Linked DNA regions of Rhinolophus ferrumequinum. The protein of the gene in region 1 interacts with the protein of each later gene in a pairwise test. Links are inferred from orthologs where the notes say so. Each region holds a gene or a part of one and is shown in the gene's direction. Other genes may lie near its edges. The genes, in order: UBQLN1, TMCO6, HSD17B12 and HK2.

What was found.
Region 2: the proteins of UBQLN1 (region 1) and TMCO6 interact in binary tests that used the Homo sapiens proteins (3 or more experiments, as listed by UniProt). The two-hybrid records come from large-scale screens. The link is inferred for Rhinolophus ferrumequinum from reciprocal best matches to the Homo sapiens genes UBQLN1 and TMCO6.
Region 3: the proteins of UBQLN1 (region 1) and HSD17B12 interact in binary tests that used the Homo sapiens proteins (3 or more experiments, as listed by UniProt). The link is inferred for Rhinolophus ferrumequinum from reciprocal best matches to the Homo sapiens genes UBQLN1 and HSD17B12.
Region 4: the proteins of UBQLN1 (region 1) and HK2 interact in binary tests that used the Homo sapiens proteins (3 or more experiments, as listed by UniProt). The two-hybrid records come from large-scale screens. The link is inferred for Rhinolophus ferrumequinum from reciprocal best matches to the Homo sapiens genes UBQLN1 and HK2.

What each region holds. Positions count from the first base shown.
Region 1 is NC_046295.1:47,098,042-47,105,235, reverse strand, and holds the start of UBQLN1 (ubiquilin-1), read left to right. Parts: upstream 1-4,186; 5' UTR 4,187-4,674; coding exon 4,675-4,854; intron 4,855-7,194. UniProt on the Homo sapiens protein: Plays an important role in the regulation of different protein degradation mechanisms and pathways including ubiquitin-proteasome system (UPS), autophagy and endoplasmic reticulum-associated protein degradation (ERAD) pathway.
Region 2 is NC_046307.1:15,176,369-15,183,191, forward strand, and holds the start of TMCO6 (transmembrane and coiled-coil domain-containing protein 6), read left to right. Parts: upstream 1-3,803; 5' UTR 3,804-3,914; coding exon 3,915-3,999; intron 4,000-4,125; coding exon 4,126-4,238; intron 4,239-5,747; exon of another isoform or gene 5,748-5,749; coding exon 5,750-5,865; intron 5,866-5,971; coding exon 5,972-6,155; intron 6,156-6,308; exon of another isoform or gene 6,309-6,403; coding exon 6,404-6,508; intron 6,509-6,662; coding exon 6,663-6,748; intron 6,749-6,823.
Region 3 is NC_046294.1:16,773,300-16,781,217, reverse strand, and holds the start of HSD17B12 (very-long-chain 3-oxoacyl-CoA reductase), read left to right. Parts: upstream 1-4,915; 5' UTR 4,916-5,049; coding exon 5,050-5,209; intron 5,210-7,918. UniProt on the Homo sapiens protein: Catalyzes the second of the four reactions of the long-chain fatty acids elongation cycle. This endoplasmic reticulum-bound enzymatic process, allows the addition of two carbons to the chain of long- and very long-chain fatty acids/VLCFAs per cycle.
Region 4 is NC_046296.1:17,289,205-17,296,158, reverse strand, and holds the start of HK2 (hexokinase-2), read left to right. Parts: upstream 1-3,948; coding exon 3,949-4,011; intron 4,012-6,954. UniProt on the Homo sapiens protein: Catalyzes the phosphorylation of hexose, such as D-glucose and D-fructose, to hexose 6-phosphate (D-glucose 6-phosphate and D-fructose 6-phosphate, respectively).

The sequences.
Region 1 (7,194 bases):
CCCCAGAGCTGTACTTATGTGGATGTTAGGCATTAATTTGCCTCCTCTTGAAAAAACAGTGTTTTGCACCTTAGGGGTGGTCATAAGAGGCCTTCAAGTGTTTAAGGAAACACCACGGGTAGATCACAGAGCACTAAGATCTGACAGGGAGGACTATCCAAAATGAGGCTGCCCTTGATTTCTTGGAAGTATTTCTCAGAGGAATAACTTTCTTGCTATTTGTATGAACCTGGGAGCAGTTATTCTTACGAGAATCATTCAATTAGAAGAGGTGGAACAAAATTTGTCCTGAATTTAGCTGAAGAGATCAATGACATCACATTGGCCCTGGAAAGCATTCAAGTCAACCTCAACTCGCTGCTCAGGGTATTTATGATGTAATTGCTCTAGACTCCCTCCTCATAAGCCATGGCAAAGTATGTGCAATTGCTAAGACATCCTGCCATACCCAGATTAATGCTTTGGGGCAAGGGGAAGTCAATACAGAAACAGTACTAAGGAAGCAGCCAAAGTAGATCTCGATGGTTTATAGGATTTGTTCAGTTGATTGGGTCTGGACCCTTGAGGAGCAGTTAATACTGCAGGTTGGCCTCATCTTGCTACTTGGAATCTTGTTGATAATAGCCTTATTAAATGTTCTAGAGACAAAAAATGGATTTGATCCCAGCCTCTGGTGGTCAGATTAATCACAATGACCAACAGAGTGACACCCTCAAAGGAGTTTTCCAGAAGCCAAGAAGTGCAAAAACAAGGAGTGGATATCATCGGGAGATAATTCTTCATGGGTCTCTCATATTGTGTGTATTTTGTGAATACAGGCACTGACTACTATTGGTGGGCAGAATAATGGCTCCCCAAAGATCCTAATCCTCAGGACCTGTGACTCTGACGCTTTACATGTGAAGGACTTTGTAGATGTGATTAAGAGATGATGAGATTATCCTGGATTACTTAGGAGGGCTCAGTGTTATCACAAGGGTCCTTATAAGGGAAAGAGGGAGGCAGGAGAGTCAAGAGATATACAATTGAAGCAAAGTTGGAGTGATTTGTCCATAAACCAAGAATGTGGGCAGTCTCTAGAGGCAAGGAACAGATTCTATTTGTCCCCCAGAGCCTCCAGAAGGAACACAGCCTTTGATTTTAACCCTTTCTAAGATCCATTTTGGACTTCTGACCTCCAGACTTGTGAGGTAATAAACCTGTGGTGTTTTGAGCCACTAAATTTGTGGTTGTTAACAGCAGGAATAGGAAACTAATGTACTGCCTTTGTTTTGGACTATGTTTTCAAGGATATCTGTATAGCGAACTGTCCTTGAAGATCTCTGAGCAAAGGGCTGCAGGATTACTGCCCATTTGTAAGATCTGGGTTCCCCACGCTTGGGATTTCTCTTAATGCAAGTCACTGTATGTGCAGGTGTCACCTGGCCCTCTTTGCATCATTCTTCAGAGGTTAGGGCTTGCTGAACTGGTGCCAAAAAAAAAGAAAATAAAAAAAATAAAAAAAATGATGGTACCCTGGCTACTGCTATTACCGCAACAAAGTCTGTTTCCAACCTAGGAATTTTGTCTTCTGCCAGCATTCATGAAACTTGGCTTGTAAGTACGTAGTGGGAAAATCTCAGACCCTTCACAATGCCTGATTATAGAATAACTCAGATAAATCACACTGTCATTCTGTCTTCGCCTTTCAATTCACTTGGGAATCACGTTATATGAATTATTGGGATGAAATGGAGTGATTGAAGGCTATACGTTTTTTTCTTTTTTAAAACACCTCTCAGCTGCCTACAGGTATGTAGACTATCTCAATAGGTTGCCTTCTTAAGTACTACAGAACTCCCAACATCCTAAAGCATCTTTTCCTATAAGCATTAGTATTCTCTGGAATACGTAGATGATTTGCTTCACATAATAGATTTTGCATTTTCACCTACTTCTCTCTGATCTCAGAGAGTACTTAAAATTTCTCCATGGCTCATTTGCTTAGTCTACACAACATGATGGCAGACTCTTCACATAGGATAACCTCCTAAGGTCAGGAAACACAGTCCAAATACATATGTGTTGAATAAATTTGTTATCTGAAAAGAAATCATTAGGCTGAGAGCTTCACACAGTGAATGGTTCCTTCCTCTGAACCTATTGCGAAGCAAGTAAGTTTCAAGGTATAGCAGTATAAAGTACGCATATGATCTAGAGTTCTAAATGAAATTTCCTGTCTAGTGGAAACATGACAGCCCAATAATTCAGTTCAACAATAAATACTCTGAAGCCAGGAACTGAGTGCACTGTGTGATTAAGACTTGATCCCTGTTTTCAAAGATCTTGTCTAATAAAGGACTAGACACAATTACGTTTAATACACGGCAGAATGTGATAAGTGACACCAAAAACAGCAATAAAGCTATATGGGAATATGCGGTATTTATAGAGAATGTATGGCCTACAAAGTCTAACATACTATCTAGTCTTACTTGAAAGTTTGTTGATCCCTGATCTGGACCCCCATCTTCAAAGGTTCCTTACAAGGTAGGATTATTTCTAAAAAGTGCTTTAATGAACAAATAACTATACCATATATTCTTACAGATACAGTACTTCATAAATTGTGCAAATACTTCAGAATTTAGAAATTAATGTAGACAATTAATTACAGAACAATTTTCTTAAGTGTTGGGTTAGAGATAAATGACTGGTTGTCCAATGGTGGAATTTTCTACCTTGAGAAGTAATGATTACCTTACATCTAGACACAAATATAGTCATCCTTCAGCAGAGAGCCTTGCATATGTTATTGAACAATGCTGTCAGAAATTTAGCTGATACCAGATGATGACTATATTGCAATTTATACTTTCCCCCCCCCTTCTTCCGCCTGCCCTCACCCCTGCCCCCCATTCTGGTTCAAGCCCTATTTCTCAGTCCAGCTGTGTATTATGAGCCTTGCACTCCCTCCCTGCTGAGGCAATCAGCTGGCCACTCATGGTAGCCTACCGCAGCACATAGCAGCCCACAGCAGCCCACGCCAACCTCCTGCAGCTCATGGCAGCCCAGCTCCCGGGAGAGCCATTGTTCACAATCTTAGCTGTAGAGGGAGCAGCTTACTGGCCCATGTGAGACTTGAACCAGCCACCTCCTCCACCTGTTTGTTAGCACTTGGAGTGCAGCGCTCCAACCACCTGAGCCACCAGGCCGGCCCCAATTTATACTTTCACAACTCCTTAGGCCCAGATTCCAAAGGGACTCTGCTTTAAAGTAGTCTTCATGCAACAGTATTTTTTTCCCAGAAGAGAGTTGGATAATTTAAAAACAAATGCAGAGTGCATCTTTGCAATATTTGGGTCACGTTGGGCTGTCGGGGTTTACATTTGTGTAACACCGATTAATAAAGTTAACGTTCTGGGTTGTACATTCCTTGAAAGTCATCTTTAAAGGCAAACAATGGCATCATTTTAAATTTGGAATTTTCAAGGGGAAAATAACTTCTTATTCCTTATTTGTACCTACACTACATTGAAAATAATTATCTTTAATATTACCTAAAGTTTGAAATAGAGCAGTAACTTAATTTGGTAGAATATAAAATGGAACACTTCGGCTAAACTTCCTAGTTGGGTGGGCACTGTTTCTGTCCCAATTTATGGGATAGTGTTCCCAGAAAATTGGGGGGGTGGCGGTGCTCGCGCAGGATTGTAAGAGCGGGAGCGGAGGCCCCAGTCAACACAGGTGGCCTGATCACCTGAGCACACTGGCCTGACCCAAGGACAGGAAGCCGTGGCCATAGAGCAATGACTCGCGGGATTGCGCACAGCGGCTGGAGACGTCTACATTTTCCTTTCGTAATGAGGATTTTTCCTCCATTAACTTAACTTCCAACTTCCGCGCACTGGGCACTAAGATCAAGCATTTTAAACCTTCCAAATAGGCAAAAACTGATCGTATTAAAATAACAAAACACCTCCCCTGCATTTATTACAGACCCCCGTCCCAGTGGGATGTACGGAGGGCGCCCAGACCCGCGAGCGCGGCGGCACGGCCTTTGACAGAACCGGGTAGGGGGAACTAACTGGACCCCCACCGCGCAGCCGCGACCACAGCAGCAGCGCCCAGTGGTCGAGCCCCCTTTCTAGTATTTTCGCTAGGCGCAACGTCATTCCCGTGCGCCGTGACAGTGCCTCCCAGAACCTGCGAATTTATTTTTTGGTGAAAGGAGTGAAAAGAAATGAACTGACCTCTCCCACTACACTTTGCTTTTAGTCCTTCCCTCTGGCCGTGCCTACAATTTGGGCCATGGAGCGGGAAAGGGAACGTAAAGCAGCCGGAACTCGAAGCGGCGCCGGCTGGGCATGACTCGGTGACGCCGCCAGCCGCATTACCCGGCGTGCCCTGCGCCGCGCCGGCGGAGGGACGTTGGGGAGGGGTGGGGAGGAGGAAGCGGCGGCGGCTGCGGATGTCGCTGCGACCAAGCCGCGTCTGAACGGCGGCTGCCGAACGGCCGACCCGGGCCTGCACCGGAGCCCACACCCAGCTCCGCGGCCCGCCGCCCGCGGCCCTGCGCCTGTTGACACCAAGGCGGCGCGTCCTGTATTCTCCGTTGCCCGAGCCAGCCTGCTGTGGCGTCTCCTGGCTCCCCCTCGCTCGCCTGCACCCTCCTGAGTCACTGCCGCCGCCGCCATGGCCGAGAGTGGTGAAAGCGGTGGCCCTCCGAGCTCCCAGGACAGCGCCGCCGCGGCCGAAGGTGCCGGTTCCCCCGCGGCCGCTGCCTCCGCGGAGCCCAAGATCATGAAAGTCACCGTGAAGACCCCGAAGGAGAAGGAGGAGTTCGCTGTGCCCGAGAATAGCTCCGTCCAGCAGGTGAGGGCCGCCCTGCGCTCGGGCCGGGGTGGGGGTGGCGGCAGGACCTCCGCCCGCGGCGGGAGGAGACGGCTTTGCAAAGGCCTGGGAGGGGGTCGTCCCCGGAGGTGCTCTCGGCCATCTCCGGGCTCGTCCCAAATTAGATCACACCCAACTCCGTGGATTTGCGCCTTGGGACACCGCTGAGGTTTGTGGCGGGGCCGCGCGGCCTGTTTGTAGAACGCGCCGACGCCGCTTCCCTCCGCGCCTTCCTTTTGCTCTGGCGTCCACGGACCCCCAGCCTCCGCCCCCAGCTCCCCGCCCCCAGCCGCCTCCCCGCTGCTCAGCACAAAGGAAAAGGACTCACCGTCTGGCTCCTGGCGAGGTGAAGGCTGAGCCGGGGCGAGGGTTCACTTTAATCTAGTCGGCGGTTTTGTCTCATGAATAAAAAAACTGGGCGGGGGGTGCTCATTGTTTTACCTGCCTGTGGGTTAAGGTGGATTTTACTGTGAGGAGCACGTGTACATTTAGTTTTGCATTTTGACTGCTGATGTCTTGCCCATACTTTATATTTAGTTTTTTAAATTAACTATGACGTAGATATTGCGTACAGCCACATCGTAAGAAGTAATACTAGGCTTAAGGAGAAAGGTGGATGACTTGCAATGATGACTTGCTGTTTTTAATGTGTTTATCTTGCCTTAGATGCCAATCATTGAGTTGCTTTTTGTTTGATTTTAGAGGAACGATAGCTGCGTTATTCAGATATTATCGTAGCGGTTGCAATCGAATAAAAGAACATAGTTGGCGTTAATGGACAATGCTATCGAATAATTTATAACTTAAAATCTTCAGGAATACAAATTGTGCAGTTAATTAGAAATCTTGAAGAATTCAACAAATGGTTTTAACTTTGTTGAATACATCCCAGAAAATTTTCTGTAATTATTGATCTCTGGCGATTTCAAACATTGTGAACAGTTTATGAGGAAACAGCAGACCCTAAAATGTACCTGTTTCCCCAGGGACGGTAAATGGGGTATTGGTTTATATAGTTCCAAAAGGTGGTGTGTTTTTTGAAGCGGTAAGTAGAGCATGTAGCATCGAGTGAGAGAAACTTTTACCACCTACTGAATCACCACGTTTTTTGTCTCAATTTTCCTAGGAAATTTTTCCTTAATTTTATATTTTACAACATACAGGAAAATTGAAAGAATTAGACAACGAACACCCATATGTCTATTGCCTACAATTAGCATTTTGCTGTATTTGCTCTATCACATCATTTATTAGTCCATTTTATTTTTTGGATGAATTTCAAAGTAAGTTGTAAGTATCAATTCATGTTACCCTTAAAAAGAACTTCAGCAATGTGCACATCATTAACCTGAGTTCAATTTTTCTTTTAATTTTTTTCTTTTTAAGTTTGACTTGCAATAAAATACACATGGTTTCCATTCTGTGTATTTCCACAAAACTCCTGTGTAATCTAAAGACTCATCATGATGTAGAACTTTATAGTAGACTAGAAAGTTACGTCTTACCCAGTCAGTTCAGTCACTCTCCCCTCCATCAACCACTGTTTTCATTTTTTTCCCCATGGGTTGGTTTTGCCCACCCTAGAATTTCACATAAGTGGGATTATATAGTATGTATTGGGTAAGGCTTTTTATTCACTCAGCATATATAAGTTTTTGAGATTTATTCTTGTATATATCACTGATTCCTTTTTTGTTGCTGTGTTGTTTTCCATTGTATGAATATACAGTGGTACTTAGGTTTTCCAACATCTCCGTTGACGAACATTTCAGTTTATGAACGCCGTAAGTTTTATGGATCTATGGTATCATTAAATAGTAAAATTCATGCTGAATTTGCAGTTTTAGGGGTTGATTTTAAAGATCTGGAATGGATTAATCCATTTTGCATTACTTCCTATGGGGAAACCGAGCCTCGGTTTTTGAACATTTCAGAACTCAGAACGGTCTTCCAGAATGGATTATGTTCGAAAACCGAGGTACCACTGTACCGTAGTTTATCCATTTTGTTGAGGTTACTTTGGCTGTTTCCAGTTAGTTGCTGTGAACATTCTTGTACAAATCTTTTTTGGACAGATGCTTGTCTCATTAAATACAATGGTACCTCGGTTTTTTAACGTAATCTGTTCCAGAAGACCGTTCGAGTTCTGAAACGTTTGAAAACAGCTGACAGCTAGGCCTCAGGATCTTGCACTCAGCGGAAGCCATGTGACATGGAAGCCATGTGACATATTCCACTTCCGAGGCGTGTTTGAAAACCAAAGCATTTACTTCTGGGTTTACGGCATTCGTAAACTGAAATGTTTGTCAACAGAGAGGTTCG
Region 2 (6,823 bases), on another chromosome or scaffold:
GGGGTGTAACAGGAAGCATCCTGCAGGACCTTGAATATGCCCTGGGCCAGGCAGTGTCCTGATGACTTAGGCGCCCTGGTGGGTTTGGAGAAAGGAATTCTGCCGGTGCCTCCTGCCTGGACTCTCACCTCCCTGCCTATATCCCAGTGACTCAACCTGTGGAGTTTCCTTGACGTTTCCCTATTCTTGGTGGTTACTATTAACTTCCCGCCACCCAAGTGCAATCCCCTAAATATCTTCAGATATTTAACTGGGTATTTGGTGGAATAGATTGCAAACAAACTTCATCTATTGACTCCCAGGGCTGGAATTAATTAAAAAAAATTTTTTTTATTGGGGAATATTGGGGAACAGTGTGTTTCTCCAGGACCCATCAGCTCCAAGTCATTGTCCTTCAATCTAGTTGTGGAGGGTGCAGCTCACTGGCCCCTGTAGGAATCCAACCGGTAACACTGCTGTTCAGAGTTCCCACTCTAACTAACTGAGCCATCCAGCTGCCCCTGGAATTAATTTTAATAGAAGGAAGTTGTTTTGAAAAACAACTCCCTTTCTCTTCCTCCTCTCCGCCTTCTCTCTCCTCCTCCTCCTCCTGTTCCTCCTCCTCCTCCTCCTTCTTTTTTTTGCTGACTTGTTCTTTGTTTAACTTTATTGATTAAGAAAATAATAAAATAATAGCTTTCTTAAGTAGAGGTGTTTAACAGAAACATGTTGGCCAAGTCACTTACTCTCTTATAGTTTTCTTTTCTCCATCCTGAAACTGAAAAACTAGATATTTCTAACACAATTTTCCCTCTTGCACTGTTCTCCCCTACCTCTCACTCAACACAATTTCTGTGTCCTAGGAAGGAAGGGCTGGACCTATGTTGAATGAGGATTAATTGTTGAATGTAACTTAACTATTTTAACAAGAAAAAAAAGCAAGTGTCCCAGAGGGTGGGGTAGGGTTTATGCTTTGACAAGAGAAAAATTCTGAGATGTTCTAAATAAAATTACAGCAACCGGAGAGTGAGTGAAAGAGACAGGAATAATTAACCAGTTAATAGCTGTGGGCCAACTAACAAAGACTGCTCACATTCCTGAATGAATGCTGGAGCTTTGAATCAACCTCCAAGTGTCTACTAGCCAACCACGAGAACACTGCGTCCTACAGGAACACCCAGGACTCTTGTCTGTAAGCAATCAAAAGTAGTAAATAAATCTTCCCTATAGACTGTGCACCTATCAGAACTGCCTCCACTTCACCTTTTCCCACCCCCTTATCTGTATCCAATGTAAATTCTTTCAAATAATTTATACCTGTCTTCCCCAAACATAATGAATAGAAGAGCCTATCAACGCCAGGCTGGTGGACATGTTGCCTTCTCCACCTAGCCGTGCTGCTGGTGATGTAGACTGCATGCTCTAGTACCAGTCCTTGACCTAGTCCTTTTCTGGAGAGCATATGGCTCAATAAACCCTTTCTTTCAGAAAAGCTTTCAGCTATGGAAAATTTTTTGTGAACACTTTTACAATGGTCCTCACAGGTCTGCACCTCTGGATTTTTGGGGAAAGAGCTACGTGAAAAACATTTGAATTCTCACTTCCTCCTATTTTCAAGAAGTAGCTTCACATCTGTCCCCAATCCAAACAAGGAGGCCTCATGAGATCACATTTCCCCCTATGTGTCCTGTTAGACATGTCCTGATACCCTGAGCTAAGCTCCAAGGCCAGGCCAGGTCACTGGGACATCTCTGAGGTCCAAGATGTGGTCCAAGATAGCTCAGTGTTAAGTACACTGACCCTGCAGTCATACAGCCAGGCAGGGAATCCTAGGTCTACCGCTGAGGTTGCCAGATTAGGCAAGTGTCTGGACCTCAGATTTCTGAATGTCTGTTTTTAAAATGGACATAATAATAGTACCTATCTATGAGTAAAGTCTTTGGCACAGAGTGACATCTATTGACAGCAGCCCTGACTGTTATCTTCTTTGTCAGAGACTCTGCGTTCAGAAGACTCAGACTACTGAAGCCTGGCTCCTCAGCAAATCCCATCACCTTAGTGGAGGCACTCTGGATGAGGAGTCCAAGATAACAAGGGCAAGAAGTGTCTGTAAAGATTCTTACTCACACCTTAATTAACTCACACCTTAATTCAAGAATATCTATCATTTGTCTACCAAGACAAATATCTATCTTTGTCTACTAAGGGCTGGTGCAAAGCTCTGGGATGCCTACATGACCATCACTCAGTACCTCAAGTACTACAGTAGGTGGGGGAGGTGAAAATGGACCCAGAACTACTGTCCATAGTGAAGAGGACTCCTATAGAGGAGAAACTAAGGACTCACGGTAGCTCTGGAGACAGGAACAGCTAGCCCTGTAGTAGGGTGGACATGGGGCTGTTTCTTATAGGGTTAACAGTGTTGCCAGGCAGATAAGTGTAAAAAGGCAGTTTGGGCAGCCATAACTGTTTCTGGGTAGAACATAGCGTTTGCCTAGGGACTTGTCTTATCTTCCCCACCAATAGAAAGATGCGTGTATAGAAGTCAGCCTGTCCATGAGGAGAGGGACAAGACTCAGGCCCTATCCCCAGCCAGAGCATGGTACACAGCAGGTACTCAATACATGGCCTGGAGAGAAGATGTGGAGGAGAGGATGATGACCAACGGCTATTAAGTAGATGTTTTATGGAAGAGATCGAAGACTTTATTGATTGACTTCAAGAAGTAGAATTAAATTCAAGGGAAAGAAGTTGATTTGAAAAACAATGCCTTTTCCTGTATTTTTTCTTATTTGTGCATTTGCTTAAGTAATAGCTTTCTGAAAATTAGAGGCCTCCAAATGACACCTCTTAAATGCTACCAGGACTCTACTTTCTTAGAGTTGTGATGGGGGGTTGGGAGGACATCACATCAATGATATTATAACTTAATGAAAGCTGCGAAAAGGTTTGTGAAGAAGTATATGGTGCTATACACTCTCGTAACAGGGGCAACTGTCTCAGTAATTCTCAGTAGGGACACTGGAGTTGAGATCTGGAGGATGGTGTTAATAAAGGGGAGGGTGCTGGTTGGGGTAGGGAGTAGGGGGAACAGAGACAGGGCTCTAGGCAGAGGAATAGCCTGTGCAAAGCAGGAAGGAGGAAAAGAGCAGATCTTATTTAGGAAACAAAGAGAAGATCCAGAAAAGATGAGTAAGGTGTGGAGCCCTTCCAGCTGAAACTGGAGACATGTGCAGGGATTAGACCATGTAGGGCTTAAATTGGCCACAGGTCGGATTTTGAGGGTAAGAACACGTTTTTTAACTCACCAATGTTTCCCTAGTACCTAGTAGATGGATTAGTGGCGCTCAAAATTTGGCAAAAGAATTATTTTATCCTAAAAATAATGTGACTCACTTTTATGTAGAAGAGTGAAATAATCATATTTGTCTCATTTTCCTCACCTGTAAAATGGGGGTAATTGTTATGGCGAACATTTAATACGGCAACACTTGGCCAGCATGTAGCCAGAGCTCATCAGTGGGAGTCCAGTTATTGGTGAAATGGCATCTTGTATCTTCCTAGAGCTTGGGGTAGTTTTGAATGTTTCTCTAGCGTGTGTTAGGAGTGGGGAGGTTGTGTTTGCTGAGCGGTTGGTGACGCTACTGACTTTCCGCCCGGGTCCCAACCCACCTTTGGCCTTCGCCCCTTCCTTCTCCACTCTCCCCTTTTTCCCTCCATCCCACTCTCCCTCCGCGCCGCCCCGCCCCCCGCCCCAGCCCCAGCCCCTGGCTGCGCCCCCTCGCTCCGCCCCGCCTTCACTTCGCGCGTAGCCCCGCCCGCTCGCTCCTCCCCTTCAGACCTGCGCTGCGGCTGCGCGACCCGCGCGCCACGTTCTAGGCCTGGGGTTTCTATTCCCGGCCTTTCGCTGGTTGCGAATTTCCTCCAGCTTCACCATGTGGAGTCAACGGCACGGCCGTCTCAGGCCAGTGGGCTGCGGGGTGGAAGAGCTAAGACGCCGCCGGCGGGAGCGGGAGGCAGGTGCGGGCCGGCGAGGGAACACGGGAGGATGGGGGTTTGGCGCTGGGAGACAGGATGAGGAGGGTGGGAGACGGGGTTCGGGGTCCTGGGTGCCCCTTCCACCTCAGCCCGCGCCTTTATCCCCAGCCCTGCGGAAGGCGCGGAGGGAGCAGCAGCTTGTTAGCAAGAGGCTACTGAGAGATGACGCCCCAGAGGAAGCCGACGGGGGATGTGTGGCCCCGATCCTCGGGGAAACTGAGGTAAGGGGGCAGGGTGCGTGGTGAAGTCTACACTAGCTGGAGCCAGATTCCTTCCTCGAGTACTCGAGATCCGTCTCCAAACCTGAACGCGGTCCCTGCAGAACTCGACCTATCCAGTGGGCCAAGACAGAAACGGGTATCACCCTCCACAACTCCGACCCTCATTCCTACATCAATACTTTATGGAGTCCTAGCCGATTTTTACCTCTGGAGTCTTTACGTGCCTCGTCTTCGCAGCACCCACCACCCTCCTCTGGATACTTACAGCAGCCTCCTAACCGGTCATCTGCTTCTATGCTTGCCACCCTCAGGTTCATTCTCCATACATCAATCAGATGAGTCTTTTAAAGACACAGAGACCAAAATCCTTCCTGTGACCTATAAAGTCTAGCATGGTCTAACCTCTCCCTGCCTCCAAACTTATCAGCTTACTCATCTCAGCCAAACTGGCCCCTTTTCAGTTCTTGGAACAATATACCAGGCTCTTTCCTGTCTCAAGGCCTTCCATTTGCTTCATCTTAAGTGGGTCCCTTTTGGTATTCTGTCCTGACAGCTGTTTGCAGAATATTAATCATACTGTCTAATTGTTCATTTGCTTGTTAATTATTTCTCCAACTAGACTTTAAAACCATGGGAACCTAGACCCTATCTTTGTCATCACTGAAAACTCAGATGCCTGAACAGTATCTGCCATGTGGTAGATACTCAGTGCTTATCGAATAAGTGAATGGAAGAATGGTTATAGCTTGTTTATTCATTCAGCAAGCATTGGACTTCCCCTGCATTTGAATTGTCTAGGTTTACGTATGTAGTTTACAAAGTACTCACAGGTGCCTAAGTTATACCATATATTTAGTGTGTGCTTTATGCCAAGACACTGCAGGGTACTGAAGTACACAAAGATGAAAAGTTCCTTTCTTTGAAGTGTTCACAGCCCAGTGAAGGAGACAGATGTGCTACCACCTGTCATGAAGGCAACATGAGACACAATAGAAACCCCTAAGTCTGCCAAAGGAAGCCAGAAAGAGCTAATTTCCCAGAGGCAGTGACAGGAACAGAAATCTGAAGGGAATGGAGGACCTGGGGAGGGTATGCCAGGCAGAAGATATAGATTGGTCAAAATCTCGGCAGCATTAAGAAGTCATGTTATGCTAGGTGTTGTCGCATAGGGAGAATGACTGGAGGGGTAGGTTATGCCAGGCTGAGAGGTTAAAATGTTATCCTTGAAATAACCCTGTAGGAAGATGGGGATAGATGTTATTCCCATATTCCAGGTGAGAAAAAGATTTGGGTCCCTTGTAGAGGAAGTCTCAGGGCCGGTACTAAACCCAGTCCTGATTCCCTCTTCTGTCCACTCTCCTTCTGTCCACTTATTAGCCATATTAGTGTGAATGACAAGTTCTAGGGATAGTGCAACACTGGAGGGCTCACAGGTGAAGTGAGCAGAGCAGGACTCATGATTTGCTTTCTGGCAACTGTGCCATCTCTCCTCTCCCTGCCCTGGGCTCTAGATCCAGCAGTTCCTGCGGTTATCCCAGCGGGGGACAGAGGAAAAGGAGAGAGAGAGGGCTCTGGTCACCCTTCGTCGAGGCCTGCAGCACCCAGAGACGCAGCAGACCTTCATCGGGTCAGTGTGGGTGGTGAGAGTGAGTGGCTGGGGCTTTGAGGGATGGATAGGAGTGTGGACGGGGTGGGCCACAGGCTGAGCATGGCTCTGGTGCTCACTCATGTAGGCTGGAGGGCAGCATGCGGACCCTGGTCGGGCTTCTGACCAGCAACCAGGCCCTGCTGCAGCTTGAGGCGGCTCGGTGCCTTCATGAGCTCTCTCATTCTGAGCAGTCTGCGGTGGCTGAGGCCTGCCTGCCAGCCACTTCCTACCTTCTCACCTACGTCTCCGGTCACAGCTCAGACTTGATAGTAAGCCCTGTCTCTTCCTACCTTGTTCTTGGCTTGAGTTTAGAAAGTGTTCTTTTAGATCAAGTTTGAGCTGGCAGGTAGAGAGAAGAAACCCTGTTTCCCGATTCCCACAGCCATACACATACCTGTCACCCCCCACTTCTTTGTGCCTAGAGCCTTAAGGACAGAGCTACTCCATCCTCCCCACCCCCGCCCCCATTTTGGCCTGAACTGAGCCACGTCCAGTGCTTTTGTTGTCCTGCTCTCAGGAGCTCTGTCTGTATACACTGGGGAACCTGATCGTGGAGAGTGAAGCTGTGAGAAGGCAGCTCCTGCCACAGGGCATTGTTCCAGCCTTGGCTGCCTGCATCCAGGTGAGTGTCCACCTTCTTTTTCCTCCCTGGGCACCCCTCCCCTCACTTCTTTCCACTTGCCCCAGCTGCTGTGGTTAGGCATCTTCAGCCTAAGAGGTTGAGTCTCAGGAAATCTGACCTTCCAGAGTCTGATCCCTACCGTGTCTCCTTCTAGTCCCCCCATCTGACTGTGCTGGAAGCCCTTGGATATGCCTTGTCCCAGCTCCTGCAGGCTAAGGAAGCGCCAGAGAAGATCATCCCGTAAGTAAAACTATCTCCAGATGTGCAGGCAGGGTTGACCCACTTGGCAGTAGCCCCTAGATGCGTGATTCTGTT
Region 3 (7,918 bases), on another chromosome or scaffold:
TTCAAAACCAAAACAAAACTATTGATGATACTTGCTGCTCTCTCCTCTCAACCCTACCGTACTCTTTGCCAGATTAATTTCTACTTATTCTTAGCTCCTAGCTCAAATGCCACCTCCTTAGAAAGGCGTTTCAGGGAAGTCTCCTCTTCCCATCCAATTAGGTCCTCCCTTGATCTTCTTTCCTTAAGTCCTATTCTTTTTTCTTTGTATTTATTACAATTTTTGTCATATAATTACTTGGATGTCTCTCTCTCTCCCATTAGACTGTTTTTATTTATTCATTCATCCAACAGGTATTTATTGCATACAGGTACCCCCCCCGCCCCGTATAACATGGTCGTTAGGTTCCTAAAAATGCCGTGTTATGTGAATCTGTGTTATACGACACAAAGGACTAGTACAAAAGAGGGGGTTAGGTTCCAAAAATTAAAAAAAATACTATCATATTTTTATAATTAAGAGCAATGTCTTTATTAAAGCAATTTTCACCAAAAGTATAACATATTAATATGTAGTAAATATTTTCTTTGTCATTGCTACTAAGAACCATTAAACCAAGGGCGGTTTTTTTTTTTTGTTTGTTTTGTTTTTAAAGATTTTATTGGGGAAAGGGAACAGGACTCCATTGGGGAACAGTGAGTGTGTACTTCCAGAACTTTTTTCCAAGTCAAGTTGTTGTCCTTTCAGTCTTAGTTGTGGAGGGCGCAGCTCAGCTCCAGGTTCAGTTGCCATTGCTAGTTGCAGGGGGCACAGCCCACCATCCCTTGCGGGAGTCAAGGAATCGAACTGGCAACCCTGTGGTTGAGAGCCTACTCTCCAACCGAGCCATCAGGGAGGCAGCTCAGCTCAAGGTGCTGTGTTCAATCTTAGTTGCAGGGGGCGGAGCCCACCATCCCTTGCGGGACTCGAGGAGTTGAACCGGCAACCTTGTGGTTGAGAGGACGCGCTCCAACCAACTGAGCCATCCAGGAGCTCAGCGGCAGCTCAGCTCAAGGTGCCGTGTTCAATCTTAGTTGCAGGGGGCAGAGCCCACCACCCCTTGCGGGACTCGAGGAGTTGAACCGGCAACCTTGTGGTTGAGAGCCCACTGGCCCATGTGGGAATCGGACCAGCAGCCTTCGGAGTTAGGAGCACGGAGCTCCAACTGCCTGAGCCACCGGGCCGGCCCCAAGGGCGTTTTCTTTTTTACAAGGTATCTTTATCCTCTGAATTTAATACTCCATGAACAAAACGGATTTAAATTGTAAAATTCTGCAGTCAAGTCTGATACATCCATGCTTGAATGAAAATTTTCAAGTGAGATATCTTTTGCTCTTAAAAGCTCTTATTACGCTCCGTGTTGTTTGGGGATTTCTCTAATTCTCAAACCATAGAGCAAAACCGTGTTACAGAAGTGCGTGTTACATGGGGGTTACCTGGACTTACTAAGTGTCAGGTAGTCTTAGGTGCATATCTTAGGTGAAGACACAGTGAACAAGAAAAGGTCACTGGCCTCAGGAACTTACATTCTATTGGGAAGATGGACTAACACCAAATAAACAATTCGAAAGCATTAAGTGTTATAAGAAAAACAAATTAGGGGAAAAGAATAAGTAGTGACAGGGTAAAGGAGAGAAGGCTATTGGGATATTTATGCAGGGCAGTCAGAGAAAACCGCTGAAGGGGAAGGATGTGTGAGCAAAAGCCTAAATAATATGAAGGGGTGAGCCTTGTGAAATAGGGCGCAAGGGGTTCCAGGGAGAGGAATCAGGAAGTAGAACTGCTTTGAGACCGGAATAAACTTGACTTATTTGAGGAACTGCAGGAAGTGTGGATAAAATCAAGTGAGCACAGGCAAGGGGGCTCGATGCTGCTGGAGAGGTGAGGGCAGGTACACTAGGAGGACTTTCTTCTTCTTGTTTTTTAAATTTTATTTTGGGAACAGTGTGTTTCTCCAGGGCCCCTCAGCTCTAAGTCGTTGTCCTTCAATCTAGTTGTGGAGGGTGCAGTTCATGGCCATGTGGGAATCAAACAGGCAACCCTGTTGTTCAGAGCTTGCGCTCTACCATACGGAACTATCTGGCTGCTCCAGGACTTTCTTCTTAATGTGATATAATGTCCTTAAGGGATTTGAGCAGAAGAAATAATATCTAATTTACTTAAAGAATAAACACTCTAGTTCCTGCCTGGAGAGTCATCCCCAAGACAGCCTTCAGGGAAACCAGTTAGGAGGCTATTGGCGTACTCCACTCAAGAAATGCTTGTGGTTTGGATGAGGTTGACAGTAACAGGAGTGGGGAGAAGGTTCAGTTAAGATACATTCTGGAGGGAGAGTGAACAAGACTTGCTGAAGGATTGGACATGAGACTGTAATGGAAAAAAAGAGAGTCAAGGTTGACCCCTAAATTTTAGGGCTTACAAGAAAGTGGGTAAATAGTGGTGCTTTTAATAGAGATGGGAATAAGAGAGGTGTGTGTGTGGTGCTGGTAGAGTTCTGTTTTGAAAATGTTTAGTTTGAGACGTTTATTTTTATTTTACATTTGAGTGGAGATGTTGAGTAGGCACGTAGAGACACACACACACACACACACACACACACACACACACACACACACCCACCCCCCCCTCAACAGAATTTGAGGCCGGCCACAGACATTTGGAAGTCATGAGCTTACAGCAGATACTTAAACCCAAGGGACTGGATGAAATCATGCAGGGAGACTGTGTAGAGAAGTAAAGAGAGCTGGGGTCTGAGCCCATGGGCATTGCATCATTTAGAGGCCAGCAAAAGGAGGGAACAGCAAAAGACTCTAGGAAGGAGCAGCTGGTGAGGAAAACAGTGGCCACCCACGGTTGAATGGCAGAGTAGGATGAGGACAAAGAATTGACCATTTGCTCACTATTGCATACCCAGTACCTAGCTCCTTACTGGTACATAATTAGAACACAATAATATTTGTTGAATGAATGAATCTTTTACTTACTTGTCAGACATTTATTGAGGGTCTCTAGGTCCCAGGCCCTATTCTAGGTTCAATGGATTCATAGCATACTGCTCCCAATAATCATAAATTCTAGTCGGGGCCATAGACATGCATATTACAAATGCAACAAAAATATGTATTTTTAGTTTATAAGATCTCTCTTCCCCTCCTTCTACTTTATCCTAAGGAGAATAGGACTTAATATTTGGAGTGCCCTTTGTTGGTGAGCAATAATGAAATGGGATGTATACATTTGGGGCTGTATGTAGGTAAAGATTTTGGCAAGAGGAAGAGGCTGAGGGAGAGGAATAGTAGGACTTTAGTTGAATTGGACAGGCAGCCTCAGCCAAAGGTATCAAATTCCATTGAAATAAAATATGGTGCCAGCTCAACTTACATGGCTGAATTATCCTGGACAGTTATCAGTTTATGAAGAACAGTACAGCCTCAGGGTTACACTTAATTAATTTGGTAAATGTCAAACAAACTCAAAAGGAGTCTGGAGGCTTTGGCTAGAAATAAATGACAAAGATCTATTTAATGGTCTGAGAGTTTGCAAACTGGAAACACAACTGGGCAATACCCACAGTGTTCAAAGAAGACAGAAAAGCTAAGGGTTCTTATAGTAAACAATACATTCTTAAGAAGAATCAGTCCTGCATTCATAGCCTCTGGATTGGTTTAAGATAATAATCCTCTAAATGACTGGTGGTCTGGATAGTAGATGCCAGATGGTCCGGATACATGAATATTCTTTCCTTAGTCCTTCAGGGGGTAATCAGAGGGTTATCTGGAGGTTTGATGTATATCCAGGAATTGATACAGGACTGGAAAATTCAAAAGTTTAAGTTCCCAGGATAGTTAAAACAGGAATAGAATTGTTTCCTCATGCCTCAACCTACTTGATTTTAGTAATTTGTCATGCTGACTATAGTGACTCCATTTTATTTCTTCACTCTATTCCTCAAAAGAGAGTGGAGAAAGAATGGGAGGTATCTCTCTCTAGAAATAAAGAAAAAATTGTAGGTACCTTATAAGAGTCCAAATCCATACCAGAAAAGGAAACAAAAATTGATTATAGAATAAGTGTGAAGCATTGTATTGCATTACACAATTTCTTAAACTTACCTCGTGGTCTTTCTCCTCCGGAACTTTGGTGAAATAGTTCCCATACTTCTACTTAGACTGCACACTTTTGTGCCTCCTCTCATCTCAATCCCCCCACCCCAACAAAAAAAAAGGAAATAAAAAAAGAAAGTAAAAGAAAAATCTGTCATCCTTTAAGGCCCAGTAAAAACATGGCGTCCCTTTCCAGAACTAATTGTTCATCAAGCTGTTAATACATTTTTCATTCATCATACATCTCTTATGCCATTGTGTATTCGTTACTTGTCTCCATGAAATCATTTGCTTTGAACTCCGCGACTTTGGGAACTATGTTGTTTAAACAGTAAGTGAATATAACCGGAGTGAAGGTGTGCTGCGGAGAAGGCATAGAAACAGGAGATGCAAGACTTCATACGGAAAAGCTTATGGGAACAATGAGAGCCTATTTAACAATGATATAGAAGTACTTAATAAAGAGGTGAAAATAAAACCATAGTTGCACGGCCATTTCTTACTACAATCTTGCTATTCACCAGTGGCTTCTCTGATCCCATTCCCCCTTCAAACCCGAGCTCAAACCAGGCTGGGTCTCATTGGCCAATTGGAGTGCAGTCTTCCGGCTGCAGCCAATGAGAGACCTGGGCTATTTCGTAGGGTGAGACGTGCCGAAATCCTAAGGGCGTGGCAGGTGAGCCATCAGTCTCCCTAGAACGGAAACACGGCCGGGCGCGCAAGAGGGCGGGGGCATGGGCCGGGCAGTGCAACTGGAGTCAGCCAATAGCTGACGCACTACGCGCTGAGGAAAAGATAGATCACCAATGGCGGCACGGATATGGCGTTCTGGGCGGGGTTTCAGCCAAAAGCGGTACCGGAGCAGCGCCTATTAGAGTTGTCCTCACCGTCACGGCCGGTTCCTCCTCCAAGATCCATTCATTAGATTTTTTTCATTCACGAAAGTAGTGAGGCCTGGTTGAAAGCCATGGAGAGCGCTCTCCCTGCCGCCGGTTTCCTGTACTGGGTGGGCGCGGGCACCGTGGCCTACCTGGCCCTGCGCATCTCGTGCTCGCTCTTCATGGCTCTTCGGGTCTGGGGTTTGGGTCACGAGCCTGGGGTCGGACCAGGGCTCGGTGAATGGGCAGGTGAGTCGGATCCAGCGCCGTCGGTCTTCTCGCTCCCGCAGCGGGTCGCGCGGCTTGCGGCCCGGCTTGGCCTGCGCTGACCACTTCCGGGCCCAGCGCATGGCCTCCCCTTTCCCTGCTCCCCTCTCCTTCGTGAGGCTCCTGCGTACCCGCCTAGCCCCTTAGCCATCTCTGGCTTGCCTAGACTTGTAATTTCTAAATGCTAAATACTTTGCTGGCCCAACTCGAGCGAATCTAAAGGAGAAATCTGGCCTGAACTCTCTGGGGCGCTTATCCTTTAAGCCATTCCGGGTTCATGGCTCGAAGTCAGTCTCTGCTGCTTTCTCAGTCACACTCTACTCACCTTTGTTCACCCCTTCCGAGTGTTTTACAAATATTTTCATTGGATTTGAATACTGGCCCTGTGTTAAAGATGAAAAGCATTCTGTTCGCTTTTTTGGGGTGAGGCTGAAGGAAGAGGACATAGAATTTCCGAAGTCTTCCTGCTTTGTGGAAACTTACCCCTCCAGTTACTTGGATTCAGCCAATTTCATGTAATTTACAAAACCTTTAAAAGAAAATATTCGGTAAACTGTTGGAGTCCTCATGAACTATTGCTTCTGCAAAACGGTAACTCTTCATGTAAAAATCAGAAATACTTTTTGTAGAAGGACATTTGGGAAAAAGTATCTCCACAAAGAGCGAGCTAAGCAAATGGCTCTTGTTCCATCCACTCGGAGGATTTTAAAAATGGAAGGGAAAGGTCAGGTTGGAGAAGTTGAGAAAATTACCTGCAGGGAAGTTTTGCGCTTGGTTTTATTTTTCTGCTTTATTGTTGCTTTTTTTTTTTCCTTTATTTTTCGTTTCTCTTACTTTTTTTTTTTTTTAAACCAAGTGATACGCTGTGGTCGTTCTCTGATGTGATTATTCTGCTGTTTTATAATATGAATGCTGACTTCGAGCATTTTATTGGATTTTGGGGTGGTTTGGGGTTGTTTTCAGATTAGGCTCAAGTAAGGTACACAAATAATATTACTCCATATTCTTTATTCATTTAGAAACATTTTAATACCCTTTTGGGGCAGCAGTATAAAGAAAGCTCTCAAGTAGGGAATGGATATATAAGAGCTCTGTCCACGATGTGAAGCAGCTCTTAACATAGTACTAATTTAAAAAAAATAACCTTTTAAAAAATATTCTTTGAGAAAGCAAGTGTTCAACTTGATTATAATCAGGATTATAATTTCACAATTGGCTTGCCCAAGTTCTTGGTTGTGAGGTTTGGAAAACTTGTTGTTGGACTTTTGAAATAGTTACACAAGACTCCAGAGTCTTGGGAAATCATATATCAAGATGAAGTTTTGTAATTTGTAAGCAAAGACGGAGGTTAATAGCTTTTAAAAATATATCTAAAATTGACCATAGTGGCTAATAACTAAAATGGTCCAAGTCATCTCTATGAGTCCATAGTAAAAGTCAAGTGTGTGACATGGTCATTTTGTAAGTAATACTTGTATTGAAAAGATTTGATGCCAGAAGAAAGATTTTTGATTAATGAAGGGAAATGTTTAAAAGATTTAGAAATGAAAGTTGAACTAGAACACTGGAATATAGCAGAGAGGATCATAGTGTCATAAAATGAAATATTGTTGAGTTCAGTTTACCCTGGATTGTTGGAAAATTTTTTTAAGTACGTAAGCATAAGAAATGATCAAGTTATTTGTAACATTACTTACATGCTTGTATGTGGTAGCCTGGGTCTTAAAATACTTCCGTCATCCCTCCAAATTCAGGGAATCTTTGAAAAACAAAGAACATTAAGAGTAGCTCATCTTAAACAGGTTCTTTGTGTCAGCTGGACAGGTGTACTGAAATACTTTGAAAAACAAACCAGCAGAGATGATACTTGAATAAATAGGATTAAATTGTGATTAAAAATAAGTGGGTAATTTGTTCAACCAAAGTTAGGAGTCAAGAATTAATTTTGTCAATAAACAATACTAATAAGTTTTCTCTCCTATAGAATTGCTTACTTAATCATGCGCAAACTTGAATAAAAGCAAGTAGCAGGCAGTACGTATTAGGGAGGCATTGCCTACTTTCTAGTACTTACTGTTGATTTGACATCTTCCTCTCCATATCAATTAAATATTTTAAGTATTACATCCTCATTTGTGTTGAGTTAATAATATATTTTGTATTCTTGTTATTCTTAAATCTCTTCATGTGACTATGTTTCATTTTTCCTCCTCAGATTTCAAAATCTGAGAGGCAGGGACTGTGGGTCCACATTTTTTTGTCTTTTCCCACAGTGACTGGCACATTGGTCAGATAAAATCTCTTCTAAACTTAAAAAGAAAAGCTTGGAAAAACCCTGAAATACAGGCATGCTTTGCAATCAGTAAACATATTCCAGACCACAGATTCCTTAGTCTAGTTAGGTTTTTACGACCATCCATTGCTTGCCCCATACGCTAGTTTATCTCCATCTCCCAATCAAGAGCGTGGTCATCTCTTCCCAAGTACGCTCCAATAACATTCCCACTCCGTGAATTACAGTGGTTTCACCAGGTCCCTAGCAGATGGGTTTAGCCAGTTTAGTAGGGAAGACTGTTTGGCCTGTCATTGTTATGCGATACTTCCTGTATTTCTTAGGAGAACAAAGAGATCCTGTGAAAGTGAAGCTTCAGTTGTTTGAAGGTCACTGTGGCAAGTAATGAAAAGAAGATG
Region 4 (6,954 bases), on another chromosome or scaffold:
TCTGGGAGGCAGCTCAGCTCAAGGTGCCATGTTCAATCTTAGTTGCAGGGGGCAGAGCCCACCATCCCTTGTGGGACTCGAGGAGTTGAACCGGCAACCTTGTGGTTGAGAGCCCACTGGCCCATGTGGGAATCGAACTGGCAGCCTTTGGAGTTAGGAGCACAGAGCTCCAACAGCCTGGGCCACCGGGCTGGCCCTGGAATTTTCTTTAACTACCGAGTTCTTAGTGCATAGACGACTTGATAATATGAAATATGTGTTTAGAAACTGGTATTCAAGATATACTACATACCAGGCTCTGAACGAAAGGCTTTGCACGTTCCATCTCATGATCTCCACTTTGCAGAAGAGGAAACTGGGGCTCAGACAGGTCCAAGACCACATAGTGTTCCCATGCCAGCCTCAGCATGCTGCCATGCTCTTCTCAAGCAAACCGTCTGGGGAATATATGGCCATAGGGCCAGAAGGATGACAGAATCAGACACGATAGCCCTCATGTTTGGAATGGCATTGGATGGGGGCCTCCTGGCAATATTTCACAGTGGCCTTTTCTCATTTACTGTGACACTGAATACATCTGTGGACAGGCTCTGGGATACGGAATGTGTGTGGACAGGGTGAATCATCCAGCCCATGTCAATTCATTGACAGTGAGTTTTCCTGGTGTCATTTAGCGTACTGACTACTTTCTAGTTTAGCTCCCACTGAGAACACATGTCTTATTTTTTAATCTTTTGGATAGATTTGGGAATGTTAGGAAGCCAATTTGTCTAAGGGCACTTTAAACTTTCTGATACAGCATATTCAGTGACTGTTGGGCGGGGTGGATGTTTGTCAAGCTTTGGGCCTGGCCAGCCCCTTTGAATACCCTTCTTACATTTGAGGACTTCTCCCACTTGTGGATCCTGACTTCCTGGGCATGCTTTCTTCACTTTCCTTGCAGCTAGGGCATGGACATTTGGCCCAGGCTCTTGCCACCATCTGCTAGATGTCAGTTTGGAAGCAAATGCCATAAAGAAGGAGGTACTGTGTAGATTTCCTTCTAGCAAGGATACTGAGAGACAGACATCTTGTCAAAGGTGGCTGTGGCATGTCCTGGATTTAAATTCTGTGCCAGCATCAGGAGTGTGGGCAGAGGTACCTGAGCCCAATGGTCATAGCAGTAGCATTTCCACTAGTGGAGTTCAATGGTATAACTTGGACATCACTCTTGGATGGTTAGCCTCTGAGCCTGATTTTCTGGCCTTCCTGAAGATCCTGAAAGGGATTAAATATTCTTCAGCAAACTCCCTTGCTGCTGAAAATAGCTTGAATTTGTTCTGTTTGCAAATCTGAATGATAAAATGAGGTTGTTATGTATCTTGTGGGTTCCATTTTTCTATTTGAACTGCTTTTCAATGCCTTTCTTTCCCAATCTTCTAAATTCATACATTATAGTTGAACTATGAAACAAGCAGATCGTTAGGGTCCAATATTTAAAGACAACATGATACAAGGAGTCCTGAGTATATTTAGGGCAGGCCCACTATCAATATTAAATTCTCTACATAATTCCACACTTAACCTGCAAACTTGATGAATCCTAATTAGAAAAATGAATATTTAGTAGATGAAGTTCTTTTAATAAAGTGGCATCTTCCCAGGACAGCTCCCTGAAGCTTAGTGCCCGGCTCAGGTCAGTCCTATACGAGGCCAGATCCAGCCTGGTGTAAAAGCTGGCATTTGTATCCATCAGACCACCCTTGGCTCACTCTGGCCTGTGGCTCTGTTTTTTCCTCCTCCCAAACTCCATCACATATAAAGACACACACACATGTTTGGCTCTCGATGATAGACTTTTCCATTCTGTAATCATTGTTTTATGTATGGATTTTATATCTCTGATTAAATAGTTAATCCCTCAGGGACAAGAACCACATCTTGTTTCTTTCATATTTCTCACAGCACTGAGCAGACTGTCTAAATATTGTAAGCGTTTGTTTAATAAATATTTGCTGATTGATTTCTCTCTTGGTGCTGTGGAGTCTCAATTACATGGATGTCTCTTCAATGTGTGTGTGTGTGAGAGAGAGATAGAGATAGCTGAGAATCAATAAATAATAAACTTCAGACATGGAGTTTGGAATCAGAAAAGTTGAAGATACAGTCTTGGCCTTGTGTGGGTAACCCCCCTTAGTCATGTATAAATTAGGGCTATAACAATACTACTTCCACCCCCTCCTGGGATTGGGAACTTTATAAGACATAATATGAGTATGTACTTTCATTATCTGGTCAACATGAAATGGGACCAGAGAGGGAAGTGGAGAAGAGACTCTAAAATTAGTTTGTGGAGAACAGATCATAGCTGATACAACCCACTGGGTTTGGTCCCAACTGCCTGGGACCAATGGGTTTTGCAGCACTGGACTATTGGGTTTCCAACTATATCTAGGGAGCAGGCATCCTTGCTCTTCATCACCCAATCCTGGACAAAGCCATAAATTCTAACTCAGACTTTAAAACATGTGAACCCATAGCCTGATGCTCTGCCTAACCCTCCCCGGGGTTCAGGCCCTGGTCCTCTTTTACAGCTTTGGCTGCTTTCTGCTTCTGGTCTCTGACCTCTTCCCCGAATCCACAGGGAGGCAGTTATTGCTCTAAAAAAGCAAAGCTGACCACCTCACTCCTCTAAGAAGCTCTGTTGGATATCTAAGTCTATGTACAATCTATGATGTTTCTATATCTAAAGAGGGAAGCCCAAATATGAGGCTGTTGCAATCAAGTGAGAGATGTTGGGTATGTGAATTAGGATCGTTGGAGAGATGGGAAAGATTTGAGAAAGAATACATATAATAAAACTATCATATCTCTCTCTCTCTCTCTCTCTCTCTCTCTCTCTCTCTCTCTCTCTCTCTCTCTCTCTCTCTCTCTCTCTCTCTCTCTCATTATACAAACTGTGAAAGCCAAGTTCTATCAGTTTTGCAATGCCTGACATCAAGTAAGCAGTAGCTGCGGCAGCTCGCTCTGCATCAGTGTTGCTGGGACCCGTTGAGCCACAATAGGTGAGAACTAAGATACTTCAGAAGTGTGACCCGCCAGTGGGGCCCCTCACATGACAACGAGATGCCAAACGGTATCTCTGTCCCTGCACAGGACGTGTGTTGGTCGGATGACCTGTCTTACCAGTCGCCCGACACGCCAGGTCTGTGATCACGCGCCCCCCACCCATAGCTGAGTCTGACGCGGCGGTGGCTCATGCGCCTTTCCGCTCCAGCCTTTTGCCACGGACCACACGTCTCATCCCTGCCGACCGGCCCCGCCCCCCCACCCCGGCGCGCCCCTCTGGCTTGCAGGCTCGGGTGTCTGAGCGGCCGCGCCCACGGGCCTTGCGCGCTGATTGGCTGTGCTGTGGCGGCGGGCGGCCCGTGGTGCACACACCCTCCCAGTCTAGCCAATGGGCGTGCGCGCGTCATTTACTGGGCGGCCCCGGAGCCGGCAGCCCCTCAATAAGGCACATTGTTGCACGAAACTCTAGTGCAGGAGTCCCGGGCCGCCACTAGCAACGCCGAGTCACCTAGCGGAGAAGATCCGTGGGCGAGAGCAGGGCGCGTGTGAGCCGGAGAGGTCCGATCGCCTTAGTGGAGCCGAGCTGCGATTCTTCCCAAGTTGAGCCTTAGTGATCCTGTGGTTGAAGTTAGAGCCTTGACAGCGGGGCAACCCGACGTCTCCGGGAGTGATTCTTGGGCGCCTTCTAGCAGTTGTGACTCCCCAAACCTATTTCTAGAGACCCGAGACCCTTCAGCCGGGCGTGCCATCACTGTTAGCCTTTTCTGTGGGCCGCCCGGACTTACCGCTCCCAGTCGGGCAGCCAAGCCCGGGTATAAAGCTTTCCAACCGTGCTGCCCTCCTTTCCTACACTCGCTCCAGCCTTGGTTTCCCAACTCGGCGCCGTCGGTCCGCCACAGGATGATCGCCTCGCATCTGCTCGCCTACTTCTTCACCGAGCTCAACCATGACCAAGTGCAGAAGGTAAGTAAGCCGGGCAGAGGCAGCTGGCTCGCCTCTGACAAAGTTGTATGGTCCCCGGCCTATTCTCCGGGTTCCCGGCCGGAATTTTCCTTGACCCCGAGAGGACATGCTTCTTCCCCATTCAGGGCGAAGGACGTGGAAAAAGTCTGGGCGGCCGGGTAAACTCCTGGGCACGAGGAGCCACGTCCGCTAGGCACAGGCAGGCGTGTGCGCGCGCGCGTGAGGCGCTGGGGCTCGCGCTCCGCGCGGCTCTCACTCCCTGCCACCCTGCGCGTGCTCGCGTTTTTTTTTTTTTCTGGAGGGGCGGGTCACCGGGCAAGGAGTCTTAGACTGATGGGCCCACGTGGGAGGAGCCCCTCTTTCGCAGCCTGAGTTCCGGCGAGAACACGTGGGGAGAACTGTGGCTGGGGGAGGAGGCTCCGCTGCCGCGTGGGGCTGCCAGGGGCCTCCTGCGCAAAAGTACCGCGTTTTGGGGAAGTGCCGTTCCTACTGGCGTTCCCCTCCGCCTTGCGGAGGTGTGCTTGGGGAGAGGCCCACCCACGAGGGAATTGGGAAAGAGAGGGAGGAATTCCGCCCGCTGCGCCCACTCCCCGGAACTGAAGCGCCCGGAACTGAGGCTCCGCAAGGGGCGTACAAGGCCCCCCGTCTTCCATCTGCCTCAGAACTGCACAGCCTTGGGTCCCCGGGGCCGTCTCCAAGTTGGGGGGGGGGGCGGACTTAGGATGTTATTTCTGGTGCTCCTAAAAGTTACTCAGAGACGACTAACTCCCCCCACCTCCGCCCCTCCTGTCTTCCTTGAGATTTCTGTCGTTCCGAAAACGAGCTTTGTCCTGCCCCAGTACCTGACCTGTCTGTGCCCACCTCGCGCACAGCAGGCTCCCCAGTCCGAGCGGTCCCTTCGGGCCAATCATTTACATAAAAAAGAGCCTCTGGCGCGCGGTGAGAGCCCAGCTCTCAGTGCCTCCGGGTATGGGGTGGGGGTGGGGCCTGGTTGGGCCCAAGAACCTATCACTCTGGGGAGAATTCAGTTTCTGAAATGTTCGGGATTTCAGGATTGGCTCCTGGCGGTGGGCCTCAGCTAGGATTTGAGAAGAGGGGATGGGCTGGGGCGAGGGTGGGCAGTGCCCAATGCTGTGAGGCACTGACGGAGCATTGCTCAATTACAAACGGTACTTAAAGTTTCTGTGTTTTAATGAGAACACGTTTTTGGGAAAAATGTCTTGACATTATTGTTTGGTGGGCAACCTGCTTGTATTTACGTCCTGGAGACCCTGAGAGCAAAGGAGAGAATGGTGGGTCTTGGTGTTTTTAGAGCCCTGGCACTTGAACGCCCCCCTGCCTCCTCCCCCCCAATAAAGCAGGGAATTACTCAGGTTCAGACTAGAGTAGGGAGCAGAGGGCGGCTGTTTGAGTTGAGTTTTTCTCTGTTTATTCACTAACTCATTCCTGGGATGTGGTCCTGCTCTGCACTTTAATTCAGTTTAGTTAAGAACGTGTCTGTGAGCTGGCAGGATCTTGGCAACTTCTTTGGGCTTCTCTGCCCAAGAAGAGAGTTAACACTTGGGGAAGACCGTCATCCCTTGGCAAGTCCTAAAATACAAAGATGTAGGATCTTCACTCCAACTGAAGGTCTTCTCGGTTGGGTGAATACCACCCCAGGACATTTTAATTCTTTTACAGATTTATTCTTCCCCAATCCAGAGGAAGGAGGCTAGGACGTGAACTGTGGAGTTGTACCACCCTCCTGGCCTGGAAAGAAACTATCTCTTTGGTCCCAAAGTGGAAAGAGAATTAGCCCTGGTATCTGGAAATGAGTTCTAATCTCTGTTTTGTGGGGTTTTTTTTCTTTTGTTTTGTTTTTTAACCATAGGACCCTGAGCACAGCACTTTGCCTCTTTGGACTGTCAATTTCTTTTTGTAAAATGGGGATGACAAACAGCGGCCCTGTCCAATTTATGGAGTTGTGATAATTAAGCACCGCAATCTGAAAACATTTTTCTTGTTGGCTTCTCTTCTGTACACTTGCAACTGCTACCTTTCATCCTGTGAAGTGCCTGGGGGACACTTGGGTGTATTTCCTCTAAATTACCAATGGGGGCAGAGTTGAATCAGGCCTTTAACTCACCAGGTGTTAGAACCTTAAGTGAGCACAGATGTTTGATTCCAGCTGCAAACACATAGGAAGTAGGAAGAGAATCAGAGAGAATATTTTGGAAGCTTCTTTTCAAGTTGCTGCTAGGAGGAAGAATTAGCACAGAAGGAGGACAATTGAGTTTAATTTTAGAGTCTTGATCAGGCCTTGATTTGGATGCTTCTGAAATCCCCATCATCTTATGTCTCCTGGGTTGTAGTCTGAGGCATGGAAAGCTTAGGGTCACCTGCCCAGGACTAGCTGGCCCCACTGGGGTCACTTGTCTCCTGATGCACAAGCCCAGTGTTTTGTGCCATTAGGAAGGGAATTAGGATTATTTGTTAACTTTTGCCATTGACAGTTTGAAACTCAAGAGCAAACACATAGAGCACCTACTGTGTACCAGGCACTGTTTTAAGCTCTTCGCATGTTAGCTCATTAACTTTCACAACAACCCTATGAAGTAGATACAATTGCAGTAAGTCCTTGCTTAATGATAGGCTCTGTGAGTTTAAGAGAAATGATGTATAATGAAACCAATTTTTACCATGGTCTAATTGATATAAACAAGAATTAAGTTCCTGTGGCATCTCATCAACATTATAATGAAATGACATTGATCAAAACAACGTTATTCTATTTGAGGACCTGCTGTTTTATCAGCATCCCTGTTTCACTGGTAGGGAAGTGAGGCACAGAATTAACTTGTTCAAGATCACTAGCTTTTTTCATAAGAGCTAGGAATTGAAGCCACTTAGTCGGGCTCCAGAGCACCATGCTCTTGCCCACCCCACCTTCTGCTGGGGTCATTA